2 linked regions of the Stegostoma tigrinum genome follow. The protein of the gene in region 2 binds, or shares a complex with, the protein of the main gene of each other region. Links are inferred from orthologs where the notes say so. Each region holds a gene or a part of one and is shown on either strand. Other genes may lie near its edges.

The links. The genes of interacting proteins can lie anywhere in the genome.
Region 1: odad3 (region 2) and clxn share a complex: the UniProt entries of both Homo sapiens proteins name them as parts of the outer dynein arm-docking complex. The link is inferred for Stegostoma tigrinum from reciprocal best matches to the Homo sapiens genes ODAD3 and CLXN.

The regions. Positions count from the first base shown.
Region 1 is NC_081355.1:77,300,284-77,307,233, forward strand, and holds the start of clxn (calaxin), read right to left. Parts: upstream 3,007-6,950; 5' UTR 1,592-3,006; coding exon 1,510-1,591; intron 1-1,509. UniProt on the Homo sapiens protein: Component of the outer dynein arm-docking complex (ODA-DC) that mediates outer dynein arms (ODA) binding onto the doublet microtubule. Seems to regulate the assembly of both ODAs and their axonemal docking complex onto ciliary microtubules.
Region 2 is NC_081388.1:25,227,264-25,234,973, forward strand, and holds the start of odad3 (coiled-coil domain-containing protein 151), read right to left. Parts: upstream 3,013-7,710; 5' UTR 2,663-3,012; coding exon 2,593-2,662; intron 767-2,592; coding exon 645-766; intron 1-644. UniProt on the Homo sapiens protein: Component of the outer dynein arm-docking complex (ODA-DC) that mediates outer dynein arms (ODA) binding onto the doublet microtubule. Involved in mediating assembly of both ODAs and their axonemal docking complex onto ciliary microtubules.

The DNA of each region.
Region 1 (6,950 bases), on a different chromosome or scaffold from region 2:
CCCAATTTATCATAGCTCAATGTATGGCTTGCCCCATCGCAGTTTCCTTTATTTAGATTCAGGGCATTAATTGATGCTGATACTATATCCATAGAATCCCTACAGTGTGGAAACAGGCCATTCGGCCCAACAAGTCAACACTGACCCTCTGAAAAGAATCCCACCCCCAGACCCAAACCACACCCACACCCCACCTAACCCTGCATTTCCCATGGCTAACACACCCAACCTACACATCCCTGAACACAATGGGGTAATTTAGCATGACCAATCCAACTATCCTGCACATCTTTAGACTGTCAGAGAAAACTCGAGCACTTGGCAGAAACCCATGCAGACACAGGGAGAACACGTAAACTTCACACAGCTGGAATCAAACCCAAGTTCTTGGCACTGTGAGGCAGCAATGCTAACTACCGAGCCACCACGTCACCCTTCTTCATCTTCATGAAAAATTCCATCATATTGTAGTTATGCTTCCCAAGGGGCCTCACATGGACAGACTGCCAATTATTCATTTCTCATTAAACAATATCCAGCCTAGGATGGCCTGTTCTCTAGCTGGTTCCTCAAGGTATTGATCCACAAAAGCAGCTCATAGTCACTTTATGAATTCCTCCTTTATGGTATTATTGTTGATGTGATTTGTCTAATCTGTAAGATAGCTGCAAAGATAAGAGCACCTGGTGCAGGAAGTAATATATTTGCAGCATAAAGGGTTGGCTATCAGGAATCAGAGTAGTAATAACTAGAACTTTCTGGGATCGGCAACCCGAGACTAGCTGGGTTCGCAACCATTTACAATCTACATTAGCAATAAGGGATGACAGAACTGAATGTTTGGTAGCTAAATTCACTGTCACAAGGAGGCAGAATCCACATAGGGATGTACACAGGCCAAGTTCATGGGCAAAACTTTGGCAGAAAGAATATAATGTCAATAAATGTGAATTTGTCCACTTTGGCACAGGAAAGTGGTATTATATCAAAAAAAGATGCTGAAGACTTGAGTATCCTGGTAAATGAATCACCCAAAATTAGGATGCAGGTGCAGCAAGGGATTTAGAAAGATTTTTGATCCAGGAAGAAGTCCAGGAGCTATGCGTATGCAAACAAGACAAGATGATCACAAAAACATCAACCATGATGTTGAAAAGTGGAACAGTTCGAAGAACCAATTTGTCTATTGTTCCTAATTCACTCCTAAGAGAGTGAACACTGTTAAAACAGGAAAGGTATCGTCAGAGCAACTTCAACAAAGAGCCCCCCAAACTTGGACAAATAGGTCGAATTTAAAATTCGTGCTGGAAGAACCCGTTGACCGACAGAGAAATGCTCTCTCTCGTTGGGATGGCATAGACAGCCTCCATGTGGCAGGGGTCCATACTGGCCCTTTTGAATAGCCCCGAACAGGTTGAGTCCAACAATCACGCTGGCCTCCTCCTTGGAGCAGGAGCTCCGTTCCCCACAGTCCGGGCGCTGGGAACCCGCGCTTCTTTCTTCACTTACAACGCTTGGTAAGTTTGCAGAGAGTGTCAGCCAGCTGTTGGTACTGCTTCCTGCTCATGTCTAATGGCCGTATCCGAGACATTGTTGCTCCTATTCAGCCGCCAGACCCTTACTGACTCAACCACCTTCCCGTCTCTGTCCCTCTGTCACCAACGCCACAATTTCCTTGGTAACGCCACGCGACGCGGCCCAATAGGAATCTGCGAAGGTGGCGGCTGCGTGCGCATCTACTGGTGACATCAGGCAATACTTCTCCACAGTGACGAATTGCGCCGGCGCAGCGTATGCGCGCGAGCGAGTAGCTTGTGCTCGTGCTGGGGGCTTGCATTTATTGTCTGTCCATAGTTGAAAGATATTAGTGAGCTGCATTTTTTAAACTGGTGCAAGTCATTTAATGGATAGGACTGGAGTGTTGGCAAGTTCCAAGAGCCACACTGAGCCAAATATTTCCAAGTCTGTGAGTGGTGGAGGAATCTTTAAGGTGGTGGCAGTGGTGTTCTCATGTATTGGCTGCCCTTGGCCTTCTAATAATCATGGGTTGGAAAACTCTGTCAAGGAGCCTTTGTGAATTTCTGCAGTGCGTCCTTAAGTAGTATACATCACTGTTACTGAGTGTTGATCGTGGAGGGGATTAATGTTTCTGAATATGGCGCCAAACAAGTGAGTCGCTTTGTTTTGGATGGTGTCAGGCTTCTCAAGTCTTGTTGGAACCGCATTCGTCCAGGCAAGTGGAGAGTATGCTGTCACATTCCTAACTTTTTCCTTGTCAGTGGGCTTTGGGGAGTCAGGCAGTGAGTTACTTGCTGCAGGAACCTAGCCTCAGACATGTTCTTAAGGACACAGTAATTATATGCCGAGTTCAGTTTTGTTTCTGGTCGATGCTAACCTCAGGATGTTGATTCAGGTGTGGATTCAGCAATGGTCATGCTATTGAATGCCAAGTGGGGTTGAGGGGGTTGAAGGTTAGATTATCTGTTGGAGATGATCAATGGTTGGCAGTTAAGTGGTGAAAATGCCTTCTCATAACCAGTGGATCCAATGGTGATGGACATTTAAAAAATTGACAGGAGATGCAGTGTCCACAAATATTCCCATTCTCACTGATGGGAGACCATAGCACACCAGGGAAAAAGATAAGGCTGAAATGTTTGCATCTATCGTCATCAAAGTGGAGGATCTATCTTGGTCTCCTGAGATTTCCACCAACACACATACCAGTCTTCACCAGTTCACTTCACTCCATTCCAATCAGGAAACTTCTAAAGGTAACAATATTCTAGCAACTGTACCAAAGACTTGAGCTCCGCAATTAGTCATGGCCCTAGTTGTGCCAGTGTAGTGACTGGCATGTAGATGCCAATGTGGAGATTTACTCAGGCGTGTACCAAAGCAGGAAAACCCAATCTGACCAATTACCACCCTATCAGTCTGATCTTAATCATAAAAGTGATGATCATGAACAATGCTATCAAGCAACACTTGCAAGGGAATAGGTGTTTACTGGCATGCAGGCAGGGTTCTGCCAGGGTCTCTCAGCTCCTGGCCTTAGTACAGCGTCTCTCCGCTCCTGGCCTTAGTACAGCGTCTCTCCAAACACTGACAAAGAGGTGAATTCCTGAGATGTGGCAAGCTTGATTGTCCTTGACATCAAGGCTGCATTTGAACAAGTGTGGCATCAACAAACTCTGGCAAAATGCAAATTAATAGAAATCAGGGTTGGGGTGGGGACAGTGGTGGTTGAGGTGATGAGGATTCTCTATTGGTTGAAGTCACACAAAGCATTAAGAAAGATGATTGTTGGAAGTTAATTGTCCCAGTCCAAGGACATCACTGTAGGTATTCTCCAGGGTAGGGCCTCAGGCTCAGCTATCTTCACCTTTTCATCAATAAGGTTCCCACTATCATAATGTCAGAAGTGAGGATGGTCACTGATGATAGCACAGCGTTCAGGGTCATTCACAACACCTCAGATGCTGCAACAGTCTGTGTCCATTTGTAGCAAGACCTGGATGACGTCGAGGCTGAGAATGAATAAGTGGCAAATAATCATCACATCAGGCAAATGCCAGGCAACAATCACTTCCAGCAAGAGAAAATCTAACCATCAGCTGTGATAGTTAATGGCATTATCATCACTGAATCCCCTACTATCAACATTCTGGAGGTTACCATTAACCAGCCATAGAAATACCATGGTTGTAAGATCAAGACAGCAGCTTGGAATCCTAGGATATGTGACTAACTTTGTGACTTTTCAATGCTGATCCACCATCTGCAAGGCCACAATTCATGAATGTGATAAAACATTCTCCATTTGCCTGGATGAGTGTAGCTCCAATGACCCTGAAGCAGCTTATTTGGCACTCCAACTTAACATCCAACTTTCACCACCATCAACACTAAAGTTCAGTAGAGGCAGTGTATACCATGCCCAAGATGGACCGCAGTAACTCACTAATGTTTCTGTGACAATACCCTCCAAATCCATGAACGCTACCACCTAGAAGGTCAAGTGCAGATTCTTGGTAACACCACCACTTGTAAGTTCCCCTACAAGGCGCACACCATGCTGACTTGAAACCACGTCACGGATCTTTCGCCATTACTGGGTCAAAATCCAGGAGCACCCTTCCTGACAGCACTGTGGTGGTTCCTGCGCCTCAAAGACTGTAGTGATTCAAGATTGCCACTTTTTCCAGGGTAATTAGGGAGTGCAATAAATGTTGCCCGAGCCAGTGACCCACATCTCATGAATGAATTAAACTAAAAGGCTTCCTGTGCTCCTTGGCCAACTTAATCCTTTGCATTTCAGCAGTTTGTCCAAGTAACACGAGGAGGGAATTTTCCTAAAGGGGAAAAAAAATTGCTGCTATTGACTGTGTCAAACGGTTACACTTTGAAGCTGTAACATAGAAAGCAGAATGCCCAGTTTTAATGCTGTGCTGGAAAGATTGGCACAGGAATAGGCCAAACAGCTCTTTGATCACCAGTTAAATTTAATCTTGGCTGTTTCATATTTTTATTCCATCTATGCACTTTGGTTCAGTAATGTTTAATACTTTTTTTTAAACCTAAGATAGATTCAACAGCTTTTTAGGGAAAGATAGTTGCAGTCTTCCACTACCCTGCATAAAGAAACGCTTCTGATATCACTGCTGCACGGCTTAATTCAAAGGTTTTGTCAATTCTTTCTCAATTCTTTTGCCAGAAGAAGTACTTTATCCACTTACATCTAATTAATAATAATCTTAAATACCTCATTTAGATTACTCCCTAATAATCAGGCCAAGTAACTTTAAGCTTTCCTCATAATGTAATCATTTGCTAGCACATGACAGTAAAGAAATTGATACAACTGCCTAGCATCACTGGATGATGGTTTCGTGTTGAAATTCCTGTATTAGAAAATTAAATGTTTGACATGTGTATTTAATTATTTAAGTATGTCTGTTGTCTAATTATATTTGAACAGGTGTTCCTTCCTGTACTATTACTTTGAATGAAAAACTTGCAAATGATTTTGTGAACAGGGAACCGTATAATGTCATTGCAAACATTTATGCTCTTGGCCATTTTGAAATAATCAAAATTGGGTGTAAACACTGTAAAATCAAGGTCGAAGAGTAGGAATTCAAGGAAGCCATGTTGATTTTCAGCAACACCTTGGGCTACAGCAGAGGAATTGCTGTTATCTTTAGCACATCATTACATGAAGAAATTGATTACAGTGTAAATACACTCCATACATTAAGATTACTTAAATGAAGAAGGATTTGAGAAAGATTTTTCAGTTAAGATGAGAATTAAGGAAGATTATAATGTGACCTGATAACCCCTTTTAATTTTCAAAGATTGTTACGTTAAGCTAAATTGTGCTAGATTGCTTTTGCCAACTGACATGAAGGCGACAAATTTAAGATGAGCAGAAGTGGAATCAGAATTCTTTTTTTAAAATCTCAAAGAAACTTTACTACATGGAAATCTCAGTCAAATCATTGTTTAGCAGAATTCACAGGTGAAAAATTCCTCAGAGCTGCTCTTTCTATAACTTATTGTAGTACTGGAGGTTGTGATCAATGAGAAAGCACAGCTGACCTTGAAACCCTCTGATGAAATTTTCACCTCTGTACTTCTGCAGTTGTACTGCAACTGATTGCGATATTCTTAATTGGACATATTCAGTATGGAGCAGCAGTTATTATGCTGTAAAAGTAAATAACCCAAATAAAAAGGCATTCACAGCTTCTCAAATTGGAAAGAAAGAAACTCTCAAATAAAGTTCCTTCCAGAAATCATATTAAAGATTGGAACATTCTGGGTGAAGATGGAAGCTAAAATTTTCAGAACTACTGAAGATTAGCTTCTTAAAGTATGTTAATCATTTTGCAGTACTGATCGATTCTGCAGTGCTGTTGCCTATCAAATTAGAGCCATAGAGCTGTACAGCATGGAAACAGACCCTTTAGTCGAACTCGTCCATGCTGACCACATTTCTTATTTAATCTAGTCCCATTTGGCCCATATCCCTCCAAACCCTTCCAATTCATATACCCATCCAGATGCTTTTTAAATGTTGTCACTGTACCAGCCTCCACCACGTCCTCTGGCAGCTCATTCCATACACGCATCACCCTCTGCATGAAAATGTTGGCCCTTAGGTCTGTTTGTTTTAAATCCTTTCCCCTCTCACCTTAAACCTGTGCCCTCCAGTTTTAGACGCACCCCAGGGAAAAGACCTTGCCTATTCACCCTATCCATGCCCCTCACGACTTTATAAACTTCTCTAAGTTCACCTCTCAGCCTCCAACTCCCCATACAATTCAGCCTCTCCATATAGCCCAAGGTCAAGCCCTCCAATCCGGGCAACAACCTTGTAAATCTTTTTCTGAACCCTTTCAAGTTTCACTACATCCTTCCTATAGCTGGGAGACCAGAAGTGCATACAGTATTCCAAAAGTGGCCTAACCAATATTCTGCACAGCTGCAACATGACCTCCCAACTCTGATACTCAATGCACTGACCAATAAAGGCAAGTATACCAAATGCCTTCTTCACTATCCTTTCTACCTGCAACTCCACTTTCAAGGAATTATGCACCTGCACGACAAGGTCTCTTTATTCAGCAATATTCCCCGGGACCTTATTAAATGTGTAAGTCCTGCCCTAATTTGCCTTTCCAAAATACAGCACTTCATGTTTAGTTAAATTAGATTCCACCTGCTCCTCCTCAGCCCATTGGCCTTTCTGATCAAGGTCCCATTGTACGCTAAGGTAACCTTCTTCACTGTGTCACTGCACTTCCAATTCTGGTGTCATCTGCAAACTTATTAAACATACCTTCTATGTTCATTTCCAAGTCACATTGGAAGTATTATTACAAATTCAGTTACACTTGTTTAAATAAGATCTTAAGTTTTTTTTTAATGGGATTTCAAATAGC
Region 2 (7,710 bases):
GTTCATGGATGTATAGATTAAGTGCCTTACCCAGGGGGAAATGTAGGATTATACAGAGACGGGTCTAGGTGGGATGCTCTTCAGAGGGTCAGCGTGGACTTGTTGGCAGAATGGCCTGTTTTCAGGTATTCTGTGATTCTGTGAAATGCCCACAAATTTCCTTTGGCATCTGCTTTTCTACATCCTTCAGCAACTTTACACTGACTCATTGGACCCTCATCTGATTCATTTCCTTAATACGCAACTTTTCAACCAAGTCATTCATCAATCTTTCCAATTTATTCTTCAAAAGCTCAGCGTATGTTATTTATAATATTCTCAGTTACTCCCCTGGTTTCTTTGTGAAACACTTTTGCACATTTTCAATTTAAACGGTGCTGTAAAAATGCAGCTTTATTATTTCTCCAATATTGTGATGAAGGCAATTAAAAGCACACATTCAACTTCTACAGAAATTTGTTACAATAGAGGTGAATGACTGAGCTTGTGAGCAAGTCAGTAAAATCAAAATTCAAGGCCAACAAGTCGACATAGTCCGACTAGACCATAGGGCCTCTTCTCGAAGAGAGTCGACAAGTGCTGGTTGAACCTGAGAGTCACCACACATCAGGCAAAGGGAGACGTTGAGAAGGATTTGATCTTACCAGCAATGCCCCTGCAAGTACTCTGTGCAGGCGTTTATTTTCTTCTCTGACATATTGAATGGTGTCCTTGTTCTTCTTGATTTTGCACTGTGAACTTTCATAGTAAGCCTTACGGTCACCCTCTGAAATAAACCAGTCAATAAGATGAGCATGTTCTGCTTCTGTGGATAATCTTATCCTGGTCAGGGAACCAGTAAAATAGAGTAAAGTAACTGTGGTCTGACCAACAATAGGGCTGCTCTCTCTTTGGCGAGACTATGGGTGGTGGTTTAACCCGAAGGTGACCACTTCAGGCAAACACAGAAAACCTAAGTGTTGCTCCACCCTCTGCTCTGGATCCTCTGGATCCAAAGATCACAATCAGTGAAGACAGACTGCACGTCCTCCATTATAGCCCTCAACACTGGAGACCCCCAAGGATGCATCCTCAGCCTCCTACTGTACTCCCTGTACACTCATAACTTTGTTGCCAACTTCCAAACAAACACCATCTACAAGTTTGCTGATGACACCACCGCGGTAGGGTGGGCTTCAAACATTGAGTCAGAATACGGAAAGGAGATAGATGGCTTGATGACGCGGTGCAGTGATAGCAACCTCTCTGTCAATGTCAGCCAAACTATAGAACCAATCTTTGATTCATAAAGAAAGGAGGAGAACACGCCCCCATCTACATCAACAGAACTGAGGTTGAGAAAGTTGAGAGCTTCCTTGGAGTGACAATAACCAACAACCTGTCCTGGACTTTCCATGTGGAAGCAACGGTCAAGGCACAACAATGGCCCTTTTTCCTTAAGTGGCTCAGGAAATTTGGCATGTCCATAAGTACCCTCACCAACTTTTACAGTTGCACCAAAGAAAAGCATATTCCCTGGGTGCATAATGGCCTGGTATGGCAACTGGTCTGTCCAGGACCATAAGAAAGAACAGAAAGTGATGTACACAGCCCAGACCATTACAGAAGCGAACCTCCCATCCATGGACTCCACTTACATGTTTCATTGCTGCATAAAGGCTGCCATCATCATCAAAGACCCATCGTACCCCAGTGGTGCTCCCCTACAACCTCTTCCATCAGGCAGAGGATACAAAAGCTTGAACACACACACACACACACGTGATGAATGGACTGTAATTTCAAATAATGCTGACCTTGCCTTGTGCATGTTCTCTGCAGTGTAATCTGCATGGCTTACGATATCCAAATCTTTTCTTCATCCTATGATCTGTACATCCTTGCTTACTATGATCTGCCTGTACTGCCTGCAAACAAAGCTTTTCACTGTACTTAGGTACGTGTGACAATAAATCACATCAAATCACATCCAATTAAATCAAAATGGAGAAAAAAAAGCAAATCAGGGTCACTGGACCCAAAATGTTAGATGTGATTTCTCTTCACAGATGCTGTCAGACCTTTTCCAGTAACTTCTGTTTTTGAAGCAAATCAGCAAATTGTAAAGAACTTTGGCTTATTTTTCCATGGTAAAATCCTGAAACTTTCATGGAAAATTTATGAAGAATTTTAGGTCCCTGTTTAATTGCAACTCATTGATGCATTAGGTCATCCTTGGCAATTATCACGAAAGGGTATTCTCTTCTAATCTCTAACTGATAGGATGAATACTGCTCAGACTAAATGCAGCATCTTCTCTGCACTGATTTCTGCCTCTTCAGTTTCCTTCATCTCACGTCCATGAATTTTTTTCTCACAGTTTCTATTTCCTTCCTTTCTTTCTTCCTCTTTCCAATTCTCCATTTACCTTGCTATCTTGCTTTTAATTCTCGCAAATCAAAGGAATCAAGTGAAGAATTTCTTACACATCCCAGGTTAAAATATCTGAACTGTTTGAGTTTCCAGAAATATTATTGTTAGAGACACGAGGTGTCAGACTGGTGTGCTCATTCTCTTCTATTGTGTTTCTTTGATATGTCCAATCAAACTTACCTAATAATTGGATTTTTTTCTGCAAATCCCAGATCTGTTCCTGGACAGGGACCCGCGAAGGTCCGAACATCGTCGACCCTGGGCCGTCTTTCCCGTTGTAGCTGCCCCTTATTTTCGTGTCCCAGTCCCTGCTGAGCTGCCAGTCTTTGCAAACGAATGTTTAGGTTCTTATTTCTCTCTTTGGCTCCACATGCTATTTTTCTGCCACTGAATTGAAATTCCTTTCCAAATTCACTTTTATTCCCTTTTTTTTGCTACCTTCGCCAATATGGATCGATTCACCTCTCTATCTTCTCTCTCTCTCCCCTTCCTTTTCTAACTCGTTTCGTTTGCTTGATCTAATCTCCCGAGCAACAGGCAATAAAGCAGTTGCTGAGAAACCCTGATTTCCGTTTCCTGTTCGTCCTGCTGTGGTAACTAACCAGGTTGACGTCTCTTCACACACTGACGAACTGGGAACCTATGAGTTGACACTGCCCTGGCCCATACCATCTTCCCGTCACCTCAATGCTGTACTGTACTTCCGTCAGCGCGGCGATCCAATCAGTAACCCCACCTCTCTGTTTGCTAACTGACTGCAGAGGCACAAATTACTACTTTTACCAGAGATAATAGGAACTGCAGATGCTGGAGAATCCGAGATAGTAGAATGTGAGGCTGGGTGAACACAGCGGGTCAAGCAGCATCTCAGGAGCACAAAAGCTGACGTTTCGGGCCTAGACCCTTCATCAGAGAGGGGGATGGGGGGAGGGTTCTGAAATAAATAGGGAGAGGAGGGAGGCGGACCAAAGATGGAGAGAAAAGAAGATAGATAGAGAGGAGACGAGTTAAAGGGCCGGGGATGGAGCCAGTAAAGGTGAGTGTAGGTGGGGAGGTAGGGACAGGATAGGTCAGTCCGGGGAGGACAGACAGGCCAAGGAGGGGGGGGGGCGCGGGATGAGGTTAGGAGGCGGGAAATGGAGGTGCAGCTTGAGGTGGGAGGAGAGGATATGTGAGAGGAAGAACAGGTTAGGGAGGCGGGGACGGCCTGGGCTAGTTTTGGGATGCAGTAGGGAGAGGGGAGATTTTGAATCTTGTGAAATCCACATTGATACTGAGATAACAAAACGTGAAGCTGGATGAACAGAGCAGGCCAAGCAGCATCTCAGGAGCACAACCGCTGACGTTTCAGGCCTAGACTCTTGACCCCAAACATCAGGTTTTATGGTCCTGAGATGCTGCTTGGCCTGCTGTGTTCATCCAGCTCCACACTTTGTTATCTCGGATTCTCCAGCATCTGCAGTTCCCATTATCTCTGTCCACATTGATACCATTGGGCTGCAGGGGCCCCAAGCGGAATATGAGTTCAACTCCCCCTCCCACTTCTTTTACCAGTTGCTTTCTGCCTGTGAGCAATGTGCATTGTGGTCGAGGACTGCTGTGGCATTCCCCATGTGACTGTGAAATCTGTATTTTGACATTAAAATATGGAGCAACAGTATTAAAACTATGGAACATAGAACATAGAACATTACAGCACAGTACAGGCCCTTCGGCCCTCGATGTTGTGCCATCCTGTCATACCGATCTCAAGCCCATCTAACCTACACCATTCCATGTACGTCCATATGCTTATCCAATGACGACTTAAATGTACCTAAAGTTGGCAAATCTACTACCGTTGCAGGCAAAGCGTTCCATTCCCTTACTACTCTCTGAGTAAAGAAACTACCTCTGACATCTGTCCTATATCTTTCACCCCTCAATTTAAAGCTATGCCCCCTCGTTCTCGCTGTCACCATCCTAGGAAAAAGGCTCTCCCTATCCACCCTATCTAACCCTCTGATTGTCTTACATGTTTCAATTAAGTCACCTCTCAACCTTCTTCTCTCTAATGAAAACAGCCTCAAGTCCCTCAGCCTTTCATCGTAAGACCTTCCCTCCACATCAGGCAACATCCTAGTAAATCTCCTCTGCACCCTTTCCAAAGCTTCCACATCCTTCTTATAATGCGGTGACCAGAACTGTACACAATACTCCAAGTGCGGCCACACCAGAGTTTTGTACAGCTTCACCATAACCACTTGGTTCCGGAACTTGATCCCTCTATTAATAAAAGCTAAAACACTGTCTGCCTTCTTGACAACCCTGTCAACCTGGGTGGCAACTTTCAAGGATCTGTGTACATGGACAACGAGATCCCTCTGCTCATCTACACTACCAAGAATCTTACCATTAGCCCTGTATTTTGCATTCCAGTTACTCCTACCAAATGCATCACCTCACACTTGTCTGCATTAAACTCCATTTGCCACCTCTCAGCCCAACTCTGCAGCTTATCTATGTCTCTGTGCAACCTACAGCATCCTTCGTCACTATCCACAACTCCACCAACCTTAGTGTCGTCAGCAAATTTACTAATCCATCCTTTTACGCCCTCATCCAGGTCATTTATAAAAATGACAAACAGCAGTGGGCCCAACACCGACCCTTGCGGTACACCACCAGTAACTGGTCTCCAGGATGAACATTTCCCATCAACCACCACCCTCTGTCTTCTTTCAGCAAGCCAATTTCCGATCCAAACTGCTATATCTCCCACAATCCCATTCCTCCACATTTTGTACAATAGCCTATTGTGGGGAACCTTATCGAACACCTTGCTGAAATCCATATACACCACATCAACCGGTTTACTCTCATCTACCTGTTTGGTCACATTCTCAAAGAACTTGGAAACATAAATGGTTCCTGAATTTCTTTAAGGATTTATTACATATGAGTGACTGATAGTGGTACTGTAAGAAGCATAATTTTAATGTTATTCCATGAGATGTGACCACTGCTGGTCAGCGTTTGTTCTCCCATGTCAATTTGCCCTTTGCTGTCAGGTCATACAGTGTGATGCTCTGCAATGGTGAAGATACAGTATTACAGTTCCAAAACATAATGAAATTTGGCTTGGAGACGACCCCTGTAGGTACATCTGCTGCTCCTATGATAGACACCTGGTTCAAAAGGTGCTGTTAAAGGCAGCTTTGCAAAGTTGCTGCAGCACATTCTGTAGATACATTGCTGACATTGAACTCTGGTGCTGGTGGAGGTAATGAATGCTGGAGGCCGTGAATGGGATTTCAACAAAGGGCCTGTTTTGTCCTCAATGTTACTGAGCTTCCTGAGTGTTGTTGGAGCAATATTCATCTAGGCAAGTGGGGAGTTGTCTATCATACTGCTGACTTGTGTCTTGTAGATGGTGGACAGGCTTTAGGGACTAAGAGGGTGAACTACTCACTGCAGAATTTCCAGCTCTACTTAATCATGTAGCCACAATTTTTGAATAGCTGATTAGTTTGAGTTTCTTGTCCTCATCTTGCTGAAATGGCAGTAAGATAGATGCTACCAGATGGAAGAAGAAGATGGGGCCAGCTAAAGAAGTTCTGGACTAGACCAAGAAATGACTATAAATCAGGCCTAGTGATAGAGTCTTGATGCCCATTTGGGACCAGAGGAACTAAGTCTTAATTTTTCAGTCAATAGTCCTCAAAAGCTGTTAATGATGGAGAGTTCATCACTGATAATGGTGTCAAAGGTCCAGGGGAATTGGTTTGATTCTCTTTTATTGGAAATGGCACTTGCCTAGTAAGGCACAATTGTTACCACGCTTAGCATGTTATTCTCCAAACTACAGCTTAATCCTGACTTGAAACTCTTGTGCCAATCCTATCGTTACTGGATCAAGATCCTGAAACCCCCTTCTGTACAACATAATGTGGTCGATCTGCACCAGATGAACTGCTGTGGTGCAAGAAGGCAACTCACCACCAGCTTTTCAATGAATGATGTGACTGAACATATTTCATTCTTGGACACTACCCTGAGGAACTCTTCCATCATCCACAACCATCTTACCTTGTGCTTAGTATGACTCCAAACAGTGGAGAATTTCCACAATTCCCTTTGGCTTTCATTTTGCCTGGGCTTGTTGATGCCATACTGAGCCAAAATGCTGCCTTGATGTAAATGGCAGCCACTTCACCTCACCTGTATAATTCAGCTCTTCATCCATACTTGGGCTGTTTTGAGGACTGGAGCTGAGTGTTCCTGATTGAATCCAAACTGAGCTTTGGTGAACAGATTTAGCTGAGTAAGCACAGCTTGAGAGCACTATCAATGACACCTATCGCTGCAAGTAGGCTGAGGGGGTAATAGCTTGCACAGAAAATACCTGAAAATTTTTAACATTGTTGAGTAGATGTCAGTGTTGTAACAGTTCTACAACAACTTGACTACATGTGGTAATTCTGCAGCACAAGCCTTCTCTATTACAGTCGATACAGTGTGGAGCTGGAGGAACATAGCAGGTCAGGCAGCATCAGAGGTGCAGGAGAGTTGATGTTTTGGCCTAGACTCTTTATCAGTCCTGATGAAGGATCTAGGCCAGAAACATTGATTCTCCTACTCCCCGATTCTGCCTGACCTACTGTGTTCCTCCAGCTTCACATTGTAGTGACTTTGAGCATCTGCAGTTCTTGCTATCTCTTCTGTCCCGTAACTGGGTTGTTGTGAAGGCCTAGACCTTTTGCTGTGTCTGGTATGTTCAGTTAATTCTCAGTATCACATGGAGTGATGTGGCTAAAGATTGGGATCTATAATGTCAGATAAAACTTGATTCCTGTCAATGATGGACAAGAAGGTTGAGCAGTTCTGGCTGATCATTGATTGCAAACGTTTCAGCCTTGTCTTTTGCATTGATGTGCATTTATCCCCTGATTTAATGGTAATAGTTGATTGAGGGATATACTGGGCCATGGGAATACAAATCTTCTACAGATGGTAAAATTCTGTAGAAATAGCTTCAGAAATATTAGATGCACTGGTAGTAATCTTTCAAGAAGTCTTATATTCAAGAAAAGTTCCAGAGGATTGGAAAATACCAACATAACACCTTTACTCAAAAAGTGAGCGACTTGAAAGGGTATAATAGGCCAGTTAGTTTAACATCTGTCATGGGAAAGGTGTTAGAGACTATAATAAAGAATGTAATAGCAAGCATTGAGATATGCATTATAAAATTGAGCAGAGTCAGTATGGCGACCGATAGGGAAATCAGGCCTGACAAATTTATTACCGTTCTTTGAA